2 linked regions of the Stegostoma tigrinum genome follow. The protein of the gene in region 2 interacts with the protein of the main gene of each other region in a pairwise test. Links are inferred from orthologs where the notes say so. Each region holds a gene or a part of one and is shown on either strand. Other genes may lie near its edges.

Region 1 (8,414 bases), on a different chromosome or scaffold from region 2:
TTTAATGATTATTTGATGGCATTTAATCTTGTGTTAATCAGATCATGTACAGTATTCTGTCTTTTGTTTCACAACCAAATTGGTTTCCATTTCTTTTCATCTTATCTTTCAGTTAATTGCTCCAATAACAATAATATTCCAACCCAGTGGAAGCAAATCATTATAGATACTAGAGATCTGAAATAAAGACAGAAAGTGCTGGAGAAATTCAGCAGGCCGGACAGCGTCTGTGGAGAGAGAATCGGGGTTTACGTTTCAAGCCCAATATTTCTTCAGATTCTATTATTCCAAAAGCTGACATTCACTGAGAAATTGTACTTTTCATACACAGTATCAAAGCTTAACTTCCCGAAATGTATAACTATAAATTATTGAGGTAAATTACTTATTTAGAAAATACATTACATGTTTCACACTAATGCAGAAAATGGAAAAAGTATACCCTGATTTCTGCTCACAGGAGAAAAACTACTCCCACAGATTGATGCAGAGATATAATAGCACAGCAATAATAATATAGACAAAACACCAATGGCAGAACAATGATCCAACTGTTGGTTGAATATTTAAAACACATCAGGAAGTTCCTGGGGACACAAATTTAGATTTTCTCACCTCGTCCATTGCATGTAATTTGTATCAGGGGAGGGAGTGAGGGTAGTGACTATGTTCCCAGTGGATTTCTCTCAATCACACACCTGTTGCCATTACCGAGCACTGCCGGGGGAAAGTGGCATTTGGCCCCAGCAAAGTAGCCATAATGACCCTGAGGTCTCTTTAAACAGATTGGAGAGGACCATGTTGTGACCTCTCCCTTTATTTAAACTGCGATTTACCTTCTTTTGTAGTCCTTAGCTTCTGTGTTCAGAACTATTAAGCTTTCAATCTGCAGATATTTGAAACACCTCTATCTCTCTCACTGCTCAGCCACCTCCTGTTGATTTGCACAAGTACTGTAGCAATGTTGAGATTTTGAAGTGGGGTAAATAACAGGCTTCCTTGTGATGTGAGCATGTCATTGGATACTCACTGAGCATCTTTGGCGAATGCCCACTCAGAAAGCTAGTATGTTGTTTCAATTCATGCCAGAGGTCTGAGTAGAAGTTACACCACATGTAGACTCTGGCATCAGTAGGAGAATTGTTGGCACAGTATCTGATGTTAGATAAGTGAAGAGATATCTCAAGCTCCTTTTGCCTCTTCTACGAAGTAAAAAGCAGTGAATACAAAAGTTGAAGACCCGGAGAAATTCCCTGGGTTATAAAGTCAGCTCTTCCATTGAAGATGTTTCTTCATAAATAAAGTTCAAGCAGACATGTGGCTACAAAAACAGGTCAAAGGCTTGGAATTTTGTGGTGAATAACTCACCTACAGATTCAATTCCAAAGCCTGTACAGGGGGTATGATGGAATACTCTTAACTTGCCTGAGCCACTACAGCTCCAGAAACATTCGAGAAGCTTGACACCATCCAAAACAAAACAGCCTGCATGATTGGCACGCCATTGCCAACCTAATACATTCACTTCCTCCACCGCTGACGCACATTTGCACAGTGTAGTGTGTTCTATATAGAAGATGAGCACTGCAGCAGTTCACCAAAACTTCTTTTACAGAAACTGACAAAAGCCTGCAATCTTCGCCACTGAGAAAGACAATGGTAACAGGTGAATAGAAGCACCACCTGCAAATTCCCCTCCAATGCCACACATTATTCTGACTTAAAATATTTCATTGTTCCTTTGCTGTCAAGTATTCAAGATCCTAGAACTCCCTCCCTAAAGCATTGTGGGTGTATCTGCCTCATATGGACTGCAACAGTTCAAGAAGGCTGCTAAAGGATGAGTAGCAATGGGCAATCATCTTTGGCCCAGCTTACATTTCATGAACGAATAAATAAATATATATCACATTAAATGATGAGCTGTATGATTGGAAAATTACTCCTTTTGGTGATATTTCTCTTTATCTGGCTTAATAATAAAGTAAATTATATTTTGAGCTCACCAGTGCCAAAATGTACTGCAAACATTCATTCAGTCAAACATCCTAGACAGCCCAACACAGCTTGCAACCCGGTAATGAAAATCCAATGGCATTCCCATTGAATTGTAATTACCATCGAGCCAACACCTTAAATGGGCAATCTGTGTATTAACCATGCCACAGAGCAAACAAAAGCACTGTTGGAGGTGTCCTCGTGCCTACTACTGTCTTTTAGAATGTTTTTATCTGCCTGATTTCTAAGTAAGCAATGGGTAGATACAGAAATTGAGACGCAAACGCATTCCACTGTCCAGCAACTAATTGAAATGCATCATACAATGATTAATAATCTGTTGAAAAAGAGATTCAAAGTATAAACCAACACACAAGTTAACTTAGTTTCCACGCAATGAATAATTGAACAAAAAGCAAATTGATAAGATTTTGTATTTTGTATGATACAGAAAATGAATAAAGACATTTCTCTGAAAAAAAATTTCAATATACTTGAATGGATCTGAACAATAAGAGAGCTAATTTCCTGCAAGGCAAAAACTGCTTATGGCGTAGATATGCTTGCAAATGCTGATTTACTGTATTATTTTGGAATGTAGTTGTGATTCTCATTTCTGGATCACTCTCACTATTTTATCTTCATCCCACAGACAGCAGTTTTTTTACATGAGAGCAGATTATCTCCTGCATAATTACAATGTGGAGGTGCCGCTGCTGGATTGGAGTGGACAAGGTCAGAAATCACACATTACCAGGTTATAGTCCAACAGGTTTATTTGAAATCACAAGCTTTTGGAGTGCTACTCATTTGTCAAGTGAAGCAAAGAGAAGCATATAGGCACAGAATTTATAGGCAGAGAGATCAAAAGATCATACAAATGGTGTCAATGGAGTGTCGACGGGCTGAATAGGAAGTCTCTGCAAATGATCAAAAGTGTCAGCTTGTAATTTCAAATAAAGCTGTTAGACTATAACCTAGTGTCGTGTGACTTCTGGCTATGTAATTATATATTTTAATTAATGATGTTCAAAAACTGCCACAAGAAAAATGAAAGAAGTGCATTTGAATGCAAGTTTTTTAATAGAAAATCTGCACTCAATTTTCTGTGGCATTGCACAAGGTGCGTCAAGCCCGAATGTTGTCTTCAGCTGTTGAAAGGGAGGAATTAGATGGACTACAGCACACAGTTGAAATTTATTCCAGTTTGAAGTCAAACATTTTAGATCATAGAATCATATAATCCTGACAGTGTGGAAACAGGCCCTTTGGCCCAATAAGTCCACATCGACCGTCAGAGCATCTCACCTAGACCCCCTAATATACACATCCCTGTACACTACAGGCAATTTAGTATGGCTAATCTACCTAGCCTGCATATCTTTGGACTGTGGGAGGAAACTCGAGCACCCAGAGGAAACCCACGTAGACACAGGGAGAACGTGCAAACTCTGCACATACAGTTGCCCCAGGTTGGAATCAAACCCAGGTCCCCAGTACTGTGAGGCAGCAGTGGTAACCACTGAGCCACTGTGCCACCCAAAATCGTTTACTTAGACCAATGAGCCACCCCCTATAATGCTTATATTTCCAATTGCAAATAGCCTATGCCTGTTATGTCATCTTGCTGAATAAGGTGAAATAAAATAGGCTCACTAATGTCCTTCAGAGATGGAAACTGCCATCCTTACTCAAGTCTGGCCTACATATGATTCTAGACCCACAGCAATGTGGCTGACTCTTAACTGCCCTTGGTGCAATTAGGCATGGGCAATATGTGCTAGTCTAGCCAGTGACGCCCTCATGCCATGAATGCATTTAAAAAAAGAAGCAAAGGAGATAGGAGCAGGAGGAGACCAATCAGCCTGTTGATCCTTCTCTGCCATTCAGCATGATCATGGCTAACCTTCTAGCTCAATGCCATTTTCCCACACTGTTCCCGTATTTTGTCTTTAATATGTGCAAATATTTCGACATATGTCTTGAACGTACTCTGAGCCTTCAAATTCCTCTGGAGTTGAGAAGTCCAAAGTGAAGAAATTACTTATCATCTTAGTCTTAAACAGACTATCCCTTTTTTCTGAGATTATGCCCCCACTTCTAGAGTCCCCAGCTCCATGAAACATACTTCTTGCATCTACCTTGTAAAGCCCTGTAAAAATATTGTATGTTACAATGACAAATAATATCACCTCTCAGTCTTCTAAACTGTAAGGAATAAAGGCTCAGTCTCCTCATAGGAAAATCCTGCCATCCTAAGAATCAGTTTAGTGCAATCTGTCCATGGTAAGCATAACACTCTTAAGGCTGCAAGACCAAAATTGTACTCTTTAAGTGTGTTCTCATGAAGGCTGTGCACAACTTCAGCTAGACACCTTTACTCCTCTGATGCTGCCTCTATAGGAGGTCTTTAATAGGTCTTCATCTTTACTAAATGAAAAGATTAATTAGGCAGTTTCCATGATAATTGGACCAGTTGACAGGAATTGATGCAGATGTCAGATTTTTAATACATTGACAGAAAGAAACCCTGTTTAAATTGTATATCCTTGATGTTACTTAAACTCTGCACATTGCAGGTTACTTAATCAAATTTCAATACTTTGAACATTCAAAAACAATTACAAATTGTCTTGTTATACTGTCAATTACTTAAATATTCTTACGTCTAAATTTGATGATCCAAGTAATGCAATGGGATTAATGATTTGAATGCAACTCATGTAATTTAACCTTCTTTAACAATTTTTCTAATTATTCACACCATAGAATATAACAGTGCAGGCTTCTGCAAGTCTTTGCTAATAGATATATGAATGCACCTAATAGATGTGGTAGAATTTTCAGGTTGTGTGTGATAAATATTTCAGAGCATATGAAGAGAATGTAATGTAACTGGAAAAATACATGGGCTCTTGTGGAGCAGTGATAGTGTTCATTTGTCTGAGCCAGAAGGCCCCAGTCAAATCCCATATGCTCCAGGGGTATATCCTAACACAGTGATAAAATACGATAATACAAGCTATTACATATAAAAACATTTATCACTGGAGGGGTGACCCAGTCAATCAGCAAGTCAGAATGAAGACTACACACAGAGAGCGGACTACAATTCCCATAGGACTTTGCGCGGAGGTGCATTCTGGGGCGAGGTGTGGAACTCTCGCGAGATCTCTCTGAACTCCCTGTTCTTTAGGCCGGGAGGCCCCGTAGACAACCTCTTTTTCTAAGATGGCTCCGAAGGTGAAGAAGGAAGGTGAGAGGCTCCGGGCCTGGTGCTGGAGTTGTTGTTTCAAACACCGACAAACAGGCTGTTGGCAGTCTCTCCGGCAAGAAGGAGACTCGGCTCTTCCTCATAGGAAGCTAATTGCTCCGTATCAATTCTAAATCGCCGAGATACTCACCTTCGGTCGGATCGGCCGCCCGCCAACGTGGTGGCTGCAGGGCCTGAGGCCTGGGGTTTCAGGCTGGCGAGGGGGTGTTTGACAGCACCGAGTCTGGGTGCTGGCGGTTTAACCTGCACCAGGAGTGAAAAATGTCATGGGGATCCCGGCCTGGACTGTTCCAGGGCTCGGTCCCTCATGTGGAAATGGATCCAGCAGTTCAAAAGCTCTGATAGCAATATGGTTTTGATTTGGCTTGGATTGGCCGATGCTGGTGTTTCTATGCCAAGTGCTATTCCTGTGCCGTTTAGAAGCCTCTAGTTGGTGAACTGTAAATGTATTAATCGTTAAAATCGGGTCTACGAGTGTCCGGAGTACATTAGTGCATTGCAGCACTATCATATGTGTTTTAATAGCCAATTGAAAGCAAATTTCTGCTCATTTTGAAGTTAGCGTGTTTTATAAAATGTATAAAGGTTAATGGGATCTGCAGGAGGACATCTCGCCCATCCCCAAGATTCATTCACCAAGATCATACTTGATCTTCTGCCTCAAAAGACTTTCCCACCAAATGTCTCATTTGGGTCTGCCTAGCTCAGTTGGCTCAACTGCTGTTTTGCGATGTAGAGTACTGTTAATATTCACGGTTCAAATCCAGCAGTACCTGAGGTTATCCTGAAGGACTTCTTTTCAACCTCTTCCCTCACGGCCCATCTATTCGTTAATCCAAGATAATAAAGTGTGGAGCTGGATGAACACAGCAGGCCAAGCAGCATCTTAGGAGCACAAAAGCTGATGTTTCGGCCCTAGACCCTTCATGCTCCAATGGAGGGTCTAGGCCTGAAACGTCAGCTTTTGTGCTCCTGAGATGCTGCTTGGCCTGCTGTGTTCATCTAGCTCCACACTTCGTTATCTTGGATTCTCCAGCATCTACAGATCCCATTATCACTATTCTTTAATCCAGCTGGATTGTTTAGCTCAGTTGGATAGAAAGCAGGGTCATGCAAACAGTGTGGATTTAATCACCACACTGGAAGAGATTACCATGAAGGATTCTCCTTCTCAACCTTTTTCTTTACCTGAGGTATGGGGACCCTTGGGTTAAACCAGTTGTGTGTATCTTTTCTCTCTCTAGTGAGAGCAGCCCTATGGACCGAAAGGACGATGGCAACTTTGTTTCTCTTACCTGTGGCCTAACAACTCTACTCGTTATAAATCCAGTGATTTGTCTTGAAAACACAAAAGATTCTGTTCCCTCTGCATGAAAATACCCTCCTAACCTCTGCCTTAAATGGTATTCTCTTTATCCTGAGAAACAGTCCCCTCCCTAACTGCCCTGTTGAGCCCTGTAATAATAATCTAAAATTGCTAAGATTTTAAAAATCAAGCTGTGTATAACAGTTATTAAAAATGATGTTTAATGTTCTTGCTGGAAATAAGATGGGGCAGGTATAATAAAAGACTCTTTATCATCTTTAGCTGTCCCTGCCAAAACGGAGGCTAAATCCAAGGCCTTGAAAGCAAAGAAGGCCATTTTGAAGGGAGTTCATAGTCACAGGCAGAAGAAAATTAGGACAACACCTACCTTCAGGAGACCAAAGACACTCAGACTGAGAAGGCAACCCAAGTATCCCAGAAAGAGTGCACCCAGGAGGAACAAGTATGTCTTCAAACCATTCATTTTTTTTTCAATCAGCTTTACTTCGCTTAATTGCCATGAGGGCTTGTATTTGAAATTCTCATCTTTTCTAGAAAGGAGAGTAAACTTGGCATTTCTTTTCCTGGAGAAAAGCAAAGCACTACTGATGCTGAAAGTGTCAGGTTAACATTTCAGATTAATGACCTTGCACCAGAACTGGTAAAAAGAGAAATATTGATTTCAAGGAAGGCTAAGATACTTTATGCCAAAGTATGAGACCCTCAGCAGCCATATGTTGAGTTGAATTGACTCTTCACTGTGTGTTGGTCTGTGGCTTTTCCATTGCTGGCAGTGGAGGTTTTCACTGGTCCGCAACCTGTAGATACTGATCAATTTTGTTAGTCCAGTTAGTGTTCCCTAATCCAGTATAGATGCTGGGTTGAGAGTTCTTTGTGTGTACTAAATATTCAAAGCAGTAGAGTCATAGGGTAATACAGCATGGAAACAGGCCCTTCGGCCCAAACTGGTCCATGGTGCCTACTTAGTTCCAATTGCGTGCATTTGGTCCATAATCCCTGTTAAACCCTTCCCATCCATGTAGCTATCCAAATGTTTTTTAAATGTTAATATTGTACCTGCCTGAACCACTTTCTCTGGCAGCATCCACCACCACTCTCTGCATGAAGAAGTTGCCCCTCAGGTCCTCCCTAAACTTACTACTATTCGTAACATTCTTGGAAATTTTCACACACTTTCCAGTTTAACTATGTCTTTCCCAAATCAGGATGACCAGATCGGACACAATACTCCAAGTGTAGTCTCACCGACAACTTATGCAACTGTAACGTAACGTCCCAACTTCTATACTCGGTACCTCGACCAGCGAAGACCAGCATGCTAAATGCCTTCTTCACACCCTGTCCACCTTTGACACTGCAGTCGCTGAATAATGTACTCGTCCTCCTCAGTCCCTGTGTTCCACAACACTCCTCAAAAACTTGCCATTTACCATGTAAGACCTACCTTGGTTTGATTTTCCAAAATGCTACACGTCACACTTATCTGTATTGAATTGCATTTGCTAATCCTCAACCTACTTCCCCATCTGATCAAGACTCCTCTATAATTTTTGATAACCTTCCTCACTATCAGCAATACCTCCTAATGTTTTATCACCTGGAGACTTGCTAATCATGCCTGGTACGTTCACATCCAGATCATTTATGTAAATAACAAACAACAATGCCTCAGCACCGACCCCTGTGGCACTCCACTAGTCACAGATCACCAATCCGAGAAACAACCTTCTACCCTTGAGCCACTTTTGAATCCATTTAGCTAGCACTCCCTGAGTCCCATGCAACCTAACCTGACTAGTTTTTACATGTGGGACC
Region 2 (8,336 bases):
ACTTCCTTGAGCTAAGTTGTTCACAGGCCAAGGGCGATTTGGGCTCTTTTCTAAAGGTCAGAAATCACATGACACCAGGTTATGGTCCAACAGGTTTATTTGAAAACACAAGCTTTCAGAGTCTTACTGCTTCTTCAGGTGTTGAGAAAGATGGTATCAGACACAGAATTTATAAGTAAAAGCTCAAAAGTGTCACACCACTGATGCGGATGCACTAGACTCAGAGGATATTTTTAAGATCCCATCCTAGCATTTAGGGGAAAAAAAGGCATATCCAACTGACAGAGATAATGGGAACTGCAGATGCTGGAGAATTCCAAGATAATAAAATATGAGGCTAGATGAACACAGCAGGCCAAGCAGCATCTCAGGAGCACAAAAGCTGACGTTTCGGGCCTAGATCCTTCATCAGAGAGGGGGATGGGGAGAGGGAACTGGAATAAATAGGGAGAGAGGGGGAGGCGGACCGAAGATGGAGAGTAAAGAAGATAGGTGGAGAGAGTATAGGTGGGGAGGTAGGGAGGGGATAGGTCAGTCCAGGGAAGACGGACAGGTCAAGGAGGTGGGATGAGGTTAGTAGGTAGATGGGGGTGCGGCTTGGGGTGGGAGAAAGGGATGGGTGAGAGGAAGAACCAGTTAGGGAGGCAGAGACAGGTTGGACTGGTTTTGGGATGCAGTGGGTGGGGGGGAAGAGCTGGGCTGGTTGTGTGGTGCAGTGGGGGGAGGGGACGAACTGGGCTGGTTTAGGGATGCAGTAGGGGAAGGGGAGATTTTGAAACTGGTGAAGTCCACATTGATACCATATGGCTGCAGGGACGCCCTTGACCGCGTCTCCCGTATTTCCCGCAACACATCCCTCACACCCCGCCCCCGCCACAACCGCCCTAAGAGGATCCCTCTCGTTCTCACACACCACCCTACCAACCTCCGGATACAACGCATCATCCTCCGACACTTTCGCCATTTACAATCCGACCCCACCACCCAAGACATTTTTCCATCCCCACCCCTGTCTGCTTTCTGGAGAGACCACTCTCTCCGTGACTCCCTTGTTCGCTCCACACTGCCCTCCAACCCCACCACCCGCAGGAAATGCTACACTTGTCCCCACACCTCCTCCCTCACCCCTATCCCAGGCCCCAAGATGACATTCCACATGAAGCAGAGGTTCACCTGCACATCTGCCAATGTAGTATACTGCATCCACTGTACCCGGTGCGGCTTCCTCTACATTGGGGAAACCAAGCGGAGGCTTGGGAACCACTTTGCGGAACACCTCCGCTCAGTTCGCAACAAACAACTGCACCTCCCAGTCGCAAACCATTTCCACTCCCCCTCCCATTCTCTAGATGACATGTCCATCATGGGCCTCCTGCACTGCCACAACGATGCCACCCGAAGGTTGCAGGAACAGCAACTCTCATTCCGCCTGGGAACCCTGCAGCCATATGGTATCAATGTGGACTTCACCAGTTTCAAAATCTCCCCTTCCCCCCCTGCATCCCTAAACCAGCCCAGTTCGTCCCCTCCCCCCACTGCACCACACAACCAGCCCAGCTCTTCCCCCCCCGACCCACTGCATCCCAAAACCAGTCCAACCTGTCTCTGCCTCCCTAACCGGTTCTTCCTCTCACCCATCCCTTCCTCCCACCCCAAGCCGCACCCCCATCTACCTACTAACCTCATCCCACCTCCTTGACCTGTCCGTCTTCCCTGGACTGACCTATCCCCTCCCTACCTCCCCACCTATACTCTCTCCACCTATCTTCTTTACTCTCCATCTTCGGTCCGCCTCCCCCTCTCTCCCTATTTATTCCAGTTCCCTCTCCCCATCCCCCTCTCTGATGAAGGGTCTAGGCCTGAAACGTCAGCTTTTGTGCTCCTGAGATGCTGCTTGGCCTGCTGTGTTCATCCAGCCTCACATTTTAATATCCAACTGACACTCTACTACCAACACAGCCATTTTGCACACAGCAAGAGTCCATTAATAAAATGGACCACTGCTTAGCTATTGTTTGGCAGTGTACATCATGCAAGATAGGTTGACCAAGGTACCGTTCCATAACGTCACAGAAACTTTGACGTTTTAAAAACCAAGACAAGCACAAATGCCACTGATTAAAGTTATATGGAATAGCCTGACAGTCAAACACTCAGTACTGCAGTATCATCCTTGATTTAGGCTGTGCACTCAATGGTGTACATTAAACTGACACAAGCAAATAAGCAAAGACTTAGCTTTCTACAGGCATCCATTTTCACTGGGATATCCCTAGTTGATTAAGGATTACTGATTTTTTTCCTAGAAACGTTGGATAAATCATTTGTCTGGTAAAAACGTCTAATTATGCTGCACACAATCTTATAATTGGTTGATAAATCAGATAAACCTGTCCTTCCTAGAACATTCTTAGAAGTACATTTGCAAAAACAAGCCTTTCATTCCATTCATCACGAAAATCAGATGATTTCGGCCTTGCTAACAGTCAACGCTTCTACACTCAACTAGATTAGATGTAGCTGTACACATTGTAATCAGAAAAGGTTTTATTATCAAAGTCATCGAGAGCTGGTTACAACAGGGTGTGGAATATTAAGATATAACGGTGTTATAACACCAGAGGAAACGTGTAGTCTCGGGCCACAGACCAAGGATTTATTCTGAACCGACCTTGTCTCTCCGAGCTCACGCGGGGTGGGAATGGGGTTTAAAGTGAACCCAGCTCGCAGGAGCCCCCTCCCCGGGGAGGGGGAAACCCCAGGCGGGACCCGAACAGCATCTGCGCCACAGACCATACGGCGGCACCAAGACCGGGCCCACCCTCCTAGCGGCCTCCGCCACGTGTTCGGGCGGGGTGGACCGAAACGGGAGTCGCTAACCGGGGCCTCTCTTAGGCCGGAGCCGGGGCGGACGACGACAGGGCCCCCTCAGGCCCCGGAGCGCACACGCGACACAAACGCAACTGGAGGCGGTGGGCCCGGGCCGGACACGGTATTCCAGCCCGAGGCCGAGAGCCCGAACCTCCCTGTGGCTTAGCCCCGTTTTTACCCGCCCCCGGAACACCATGTCCCCGCAATTTACCCCCGGCATTCACTTGTTTATTTATTACCCCCCCCCCCCCGAGGTTTCTACCTGGCTCCGTACCTCTCGCTTTCTCCGCGCGCTCCAGCCCCGCTCTCTCTGATGGCGCTAAAGAACGAGCGGCGCCGCCGATTGGTTGGATATAACCTGCGGGGGCGCGCCCCGGGGACCGCCTTCTACGTGCGCGCCCCCAAACCACGCCGGCCGGTGCACGCACCCCCAAACTCCTCCCGCCACCGTTACGTCGTGGGACTTCGATGTTGTGGCCATTTCGGAGACATGGATAGAGCAGGAACAGGAATGGTTGTTGCAGGTTCCGGGATTTAGATGTTTCAGTAAGAACAGAGAAGATGGTAAAAGGGGCGGAGATGTGGCATTGTTGGTCAAGGACAGTATTACAGACGCAGAAAAGATGTTTGGGACTCGTCAACTGAGGTAGTATGGGCTGAGGTTAGAAACAGGAAAGGAGAGGTCACCCAGTTGGGAGTTTTCTATAGGCCTCCGAATAGTTCCAGAGATGTAGAGGAAAGGATAGCAAAGATGATTCTCGATAGGAGTGAGAGTGACAGGGTAGTTGTCATGGGGGACTTCAACTTTCCAAATATTGACTGGGAACACTATAGTTCGAGTACTATAGATGGGTCAGTTTTTGTCCAGTGTGTGCAGGAGGGCTTCCTGGCACAGTATGTAGACAGGCCAACAAGGGGCCAAGCCACATTAGATTTGGTACTGGGTAATGTGCCTGGCCAGGTGTTAGATTTGGAAGTAGGTGAGCACTTTGGTGATCACAATTCTGTTATGTTTACTTTAGTGATAGAAAGGGATAGGTGTATACCACTGTGCAAGAGTTATAGCTAGGGGAAAGGCAATTACGATGAGATTACGCAAGATTTAGGGAGCATAGGATGGGGAAGGAAACTGCAGGGGATGGGCACATTAGAAATGTGGAGCTTATTCAAGGAAAAGCTCCTGTGTGTCCTAGATAAGTATGTACCTGTCAGGCAGCGAGGAAGCTGTAGAGTGCGGGAGCATTGGTTTACGAAGGAGGTGGAATCTCTGGTCAAGAGGAAGAAGAAGGCTTATGTTAGGATGAAATGTGAAGGCTCAGTTAGGGCACTTGAGGGCTACGAGGTAGCCAGGAAAGACCTGAAGAGAGAGCTCAGAAGAGCCAGGAGGAGACATGAGAAGTTGTTGGCGGATAGGATCAGGGTAAACCCTAAGGCTTTCTATAGGTATTAAAGGAATAAAAGAATGACGAAAGTAAGATTAGGCCCAATCAAGGATAGTAGTGGTAAGTTGTGTGTGGAGTCAGATGAGATAGGGGAAGCGCTAAATGAATATTTTTCAACAGTATTCACTCTAGAAAATGACAATGTTGTCGAGGAGAATACTGAGATACAGGCTACGAGACTAGGTGGGATTGAGGTTCACAAGGAAGAGGTATTAGAAATCCTTCAGAGGGTGAAGATAGATAAGTCCCCTGGGCCGGATGGGATTTATCTTAGGATCCTCTGGGAAGCCAAGGCGGAGATTGCCGAGCCTTTGGCATTGATCTTTAACTTGTCATTGTCTACAGGAATAGTGCCAGACGACTGGAGGATAGCAAATGTGGTTCCCCTGTTCAAGAAGGGGAGTAGAGACAACCCTGGTAAATTATAGACCAGTGAGCCTTACCTCAGTTGTTGGTAAAGTGTTGGAAAAGGTTATAAGGGATAGGATTTATAATCACCTAGAAAAGAATAAATTGAGTAGGGATAGTCAGCACAGTTTTGTGAAGGGTAGGTCGTGCCTCACAAACCTTATTGAGTTCTTTGAGAAGGTGACCAAACAGGTAGATGAGAGTAAACCGGTTGATGTGGTGTATATGGATTTCAGCAAGGCGTTCGATAAGGTTCCCCACAATAGGCTACTGTACAAAATGCGGAGGAATGGAATTGTGGGAGATATAGCAGTTTGGATCGGAAATTGGCTTGCTGAAAAAAGACAGAGGGTGGTAGTTGATGGGAAATGTTCATCCTGGAGACCAGTTACTAGTGGTGTACCGCAAGGGTCGGTGTTGGGTCCACTGCTCTTTGTCATTTTTATAAATGACCTGGATGAGGGCGTAGAAGAGATAATGGGAACTGCAGATGCTGGAGAATCCCAGATAATAAAGTGTGAAGCTGGATGAACACAGCAGGCCAAGCAGCATCTCAGGAACACAAAAGCTGACGTTTCGGGCCTGGACCCTTCTTCAGAGAGGGTGTAGAAGGATGGGTTAGTAAATTTGCGGACGACACTAAGTTCGGTGGAGTTGTGGATAGTGACGAAGGATGCTGTAGGTTGCAGAGGGACAGAGATAAGCTGCAGAGCTGGGTTGAGAGGTGGCAAATGGAGTTTAATGCAGACATGAGGTGATGCACTTTGGGAGGAGTAACCGGAAGGCAAAGTACTGGGCTAATGGTAAGATTCTTAGTAGCGTAGATAAGCAGCAAGATTTTGGTTTCCATGTACACAGATCCTTGAAAGTTGCCAACCAGGTTGACAGGGCTGTTAAGAAGGCATACAGTGTTTTAGCTTTTATTAATAGAAGAATCGAGTTCCAGAACCAAGAGGTTATGGTGAAGCTGTACAAAACTCTGGTGCGGCCGCACTTGGAGTATTGTGTACAGTTCTGGTCACCGCATTATAAGAAGGATGTGGAAGCTTTGGAAAGGGTGCAGAGGAGATTTACTAGGATGTTGCCTGGTATGGAGGGAAGGTCTTACGAGGAAAGGCTGAGGGCCTTGAGGCTGTTTTCATTAGAGAGAAGAAGGTTGAGAGGTGACTTAATTGAAACATTTAAAATAATCAGAGGGTTAGATAGGGTGGAGAGGGAGAGCCTTTTTCCTAGGATGGTGACGGCGAGCACGAGGGGGCATAGCTTTAAATTGAGGGGTGAAAGATATAGGACAGATGTCAGAGGTAGTTTCTTTACTCAGAGAGTAGTAAGGGAATGGAACGCTTTGCCTGCAACGGTAGTAGATTCGCCAACTTCAGGTACATTTAAGTCGTCATTGGATAAGCATATGGACGTACATGGAATAGTGTTGGTTAGATGGGCTTGAGATCGGTATGACAGGTCGGCACAACATCGAGGGCCGAAGGGCCTGTACTGTGCTGTAATGTTCTATGCTCACTCTCCGTCTGATTGACAAACCGTGTCCCACCTTGCCTCACCCACTCCATCCCCCCTACACCCCTCCCTGGCACTCCCCCCACTCCCTTTCCCCACGGTCCCACCACTTCATCCCTCCCACTCCATTCCCCCCACACCCCTCCCTGGCACTCCTCCCACTCCTTTTCCCCACACTCCCACCACTTCATCCCTCCCACTGCATCCCCCTACACCCCTCCCTTGCTCTCCCCCCACTCCATCTCTCTCTGCTTTCCTTGCTCTCGCCTGACTTCGTCCCCGGCTTCGCCCCCAACCCGCTGTCCTCTTCCCTGTTCTCCCCCGCCTCATCCCACCCGCTTCCCCCCCCGCTGTCCCCCACTGCCCCCCCCCGCTCTCCCCCCTCTTCATCCCCCCACATCTTCACCCACTCCCCTCCCCTGCTTTCCCCCCAATCCGTCCCCCCCCACACTCTCCCTCTCCCACCCTGCTGACCCCTCCTCCCCACTCTCCACTCTGACCCCAGTTCCACCCCTGTCACCACCACCTCCTCCCTCACTCTGTCCTCCTCCAACCCATCCCCCCCACTTACCTCACTCCCCACGACTTCTTCCCCCGCCACACTCTCCCGCTTCCCCCCCACCCTACCCCCCTCCACAAATTCCTCCCCCTCCCCTCAGTCCCTCTCTGCCTCCTCTCCCACACTCAACCCCTCTCCCACACTTGCCCCCTCTCCCCCACAAAACACCCTCCCACTTAGCCCCTCCCCATCACCTGTTCTCCCTCCAAACACCACCTAAGCTGCCCCTCTCACAAATTCTGTCTAGACCCCCACTCTGTTCACCTTAATGTTCGTGGATTAGACAAGGTGGAATTTTTAAAGTGCATCCAGGAGAGTTTTTAGTGCCAGTGCATAGATAATCCTGCTAGAGGTGGGATAGTGCGAGACCTCACATTAAGGAGTGAAGCCAGTCAAATGGGTGAGCTTGAGATAACACGGTGTGAAGCTGGATGAACACAGCAGGCCAAGAAGCATCAGAGGAGCAGGAAAGTTTGACATTTTGGGTCGAGACCCTTCTTCAGAAAAAATGGGTGAGCTTGTTGTGGATAGTGACCATAATTCTGTAAGTTTCAAAGTTATTGTGGAAAGGAATATGGATAGTGCAGCAATTAAGTGTCTAAATTGGGGAAGGTGGATTTCAATATCATAGAATTCCCTACAGCGTGGAAAGAGGCCGTTGGCTTGTTGAGTAGGCACAGGCCCTCTGAACAGCATCCACGCCAAAGCCACCACCTTACCCCATCTCTGTAACCCTGCATTTAGTGTGGCCAATCAAGGGTCTAGGCCCGAAACGTCAGCTTTCCTGCTCCTAAGATGTTGCTTGGCCAGCTGTGTTTATCCAGCTCTACACCTTATTATCCCACCTAACCTGTATATCTTTGGACTGTGGAAGGAAACCTGAGCACCAAGAGGAAACCTATGCAGACACATTGAGAATATGCAAGCTCCCCACAGACAGTCATCCGAGGCTGAGAATTTTGCCTCCTGGTCCCTGGCACTGTCAGATAGCAGTGCTCACCACTGAGCCACCCTAATATCCTTTGACAGCATCTGGCAAACGTAGACTGGGAACAGTTACATGCAGGTAAGTCTACAATTGGAAAGTAGGACTCTTTTAAAAGCAGTGCAGTGAAAATTCAGGGCCAGCGCAAGGGCAGCAGGACCAGGGAACCTTGGATGTCAAGGAATATCGAAAGTTTGATCATGAAAAAGATATATCAGGTACAGCACATTAAAAACAGGGGAGATCCTTTAAAATTTAGAGGCTGTAGGAGGTTACTTAAAAAGGAAATTAGGATGGCAAAGAGGTGCCATGAAATGCCTTTGGCAGATGGGATCCAGAAAAACCCAAAGGTTTTTTTAAGAGTAATACTAGGGAAGGGTGGGACTTTTTAGAAACCAAAAGACAACTTGTTCACGGAGTCAGAGGATGTTGGTGAGGGCTTAAATGAATATTTCTCATCTGTATTCACAGAGGAGAAAGACAGTATAGCCAGGAATTTCAGGATGGTGATGTTCCAGAACACATTAAGTTTAATAATGAGGAGGCATAGAGGTGC

Evidence for each region.
Region 1: the proteins of nap1l1 (region 2) and rpl23a interact in binary tests that used the Homo sapiens proteins (3 or more experiments, as listed by UniProt). The link is inferred for Stegostoma tigrinum from reciprocal best matches to the Homo sapiens genes NAP1L1 and RPL23A.

The regions. Positions count from the first base shown.
Region 1 is NC_081380.1:27,119,760-27,128,173, forward strand, and holds the start of rpl23a (60S ribosomal protein L23a), read left to right. Parts: upstream 1-5,135; 5' UTR 5,136-5,229; coding exon 5,230-5,254; intron 5,255-6,860; coding exon 6,861-7,041; intron 7,042-8,414.
Region 2 is NC_081371.1:63,286,808-63,295,143, reverse strand, and holds the start of nap1l1 (nucleosome assembly protein 1-like 1), read right to left. Parts: upstream 3,246-8,336; 5' UTR 3,146-3,245; exon of another isoform or gene 3,134-3,145; intron 1-3,133. UniProt on the Homo sapiens protein: Histone chaperone that plays a role in the nuclear import of H2A-H2B and nucleosome assembly.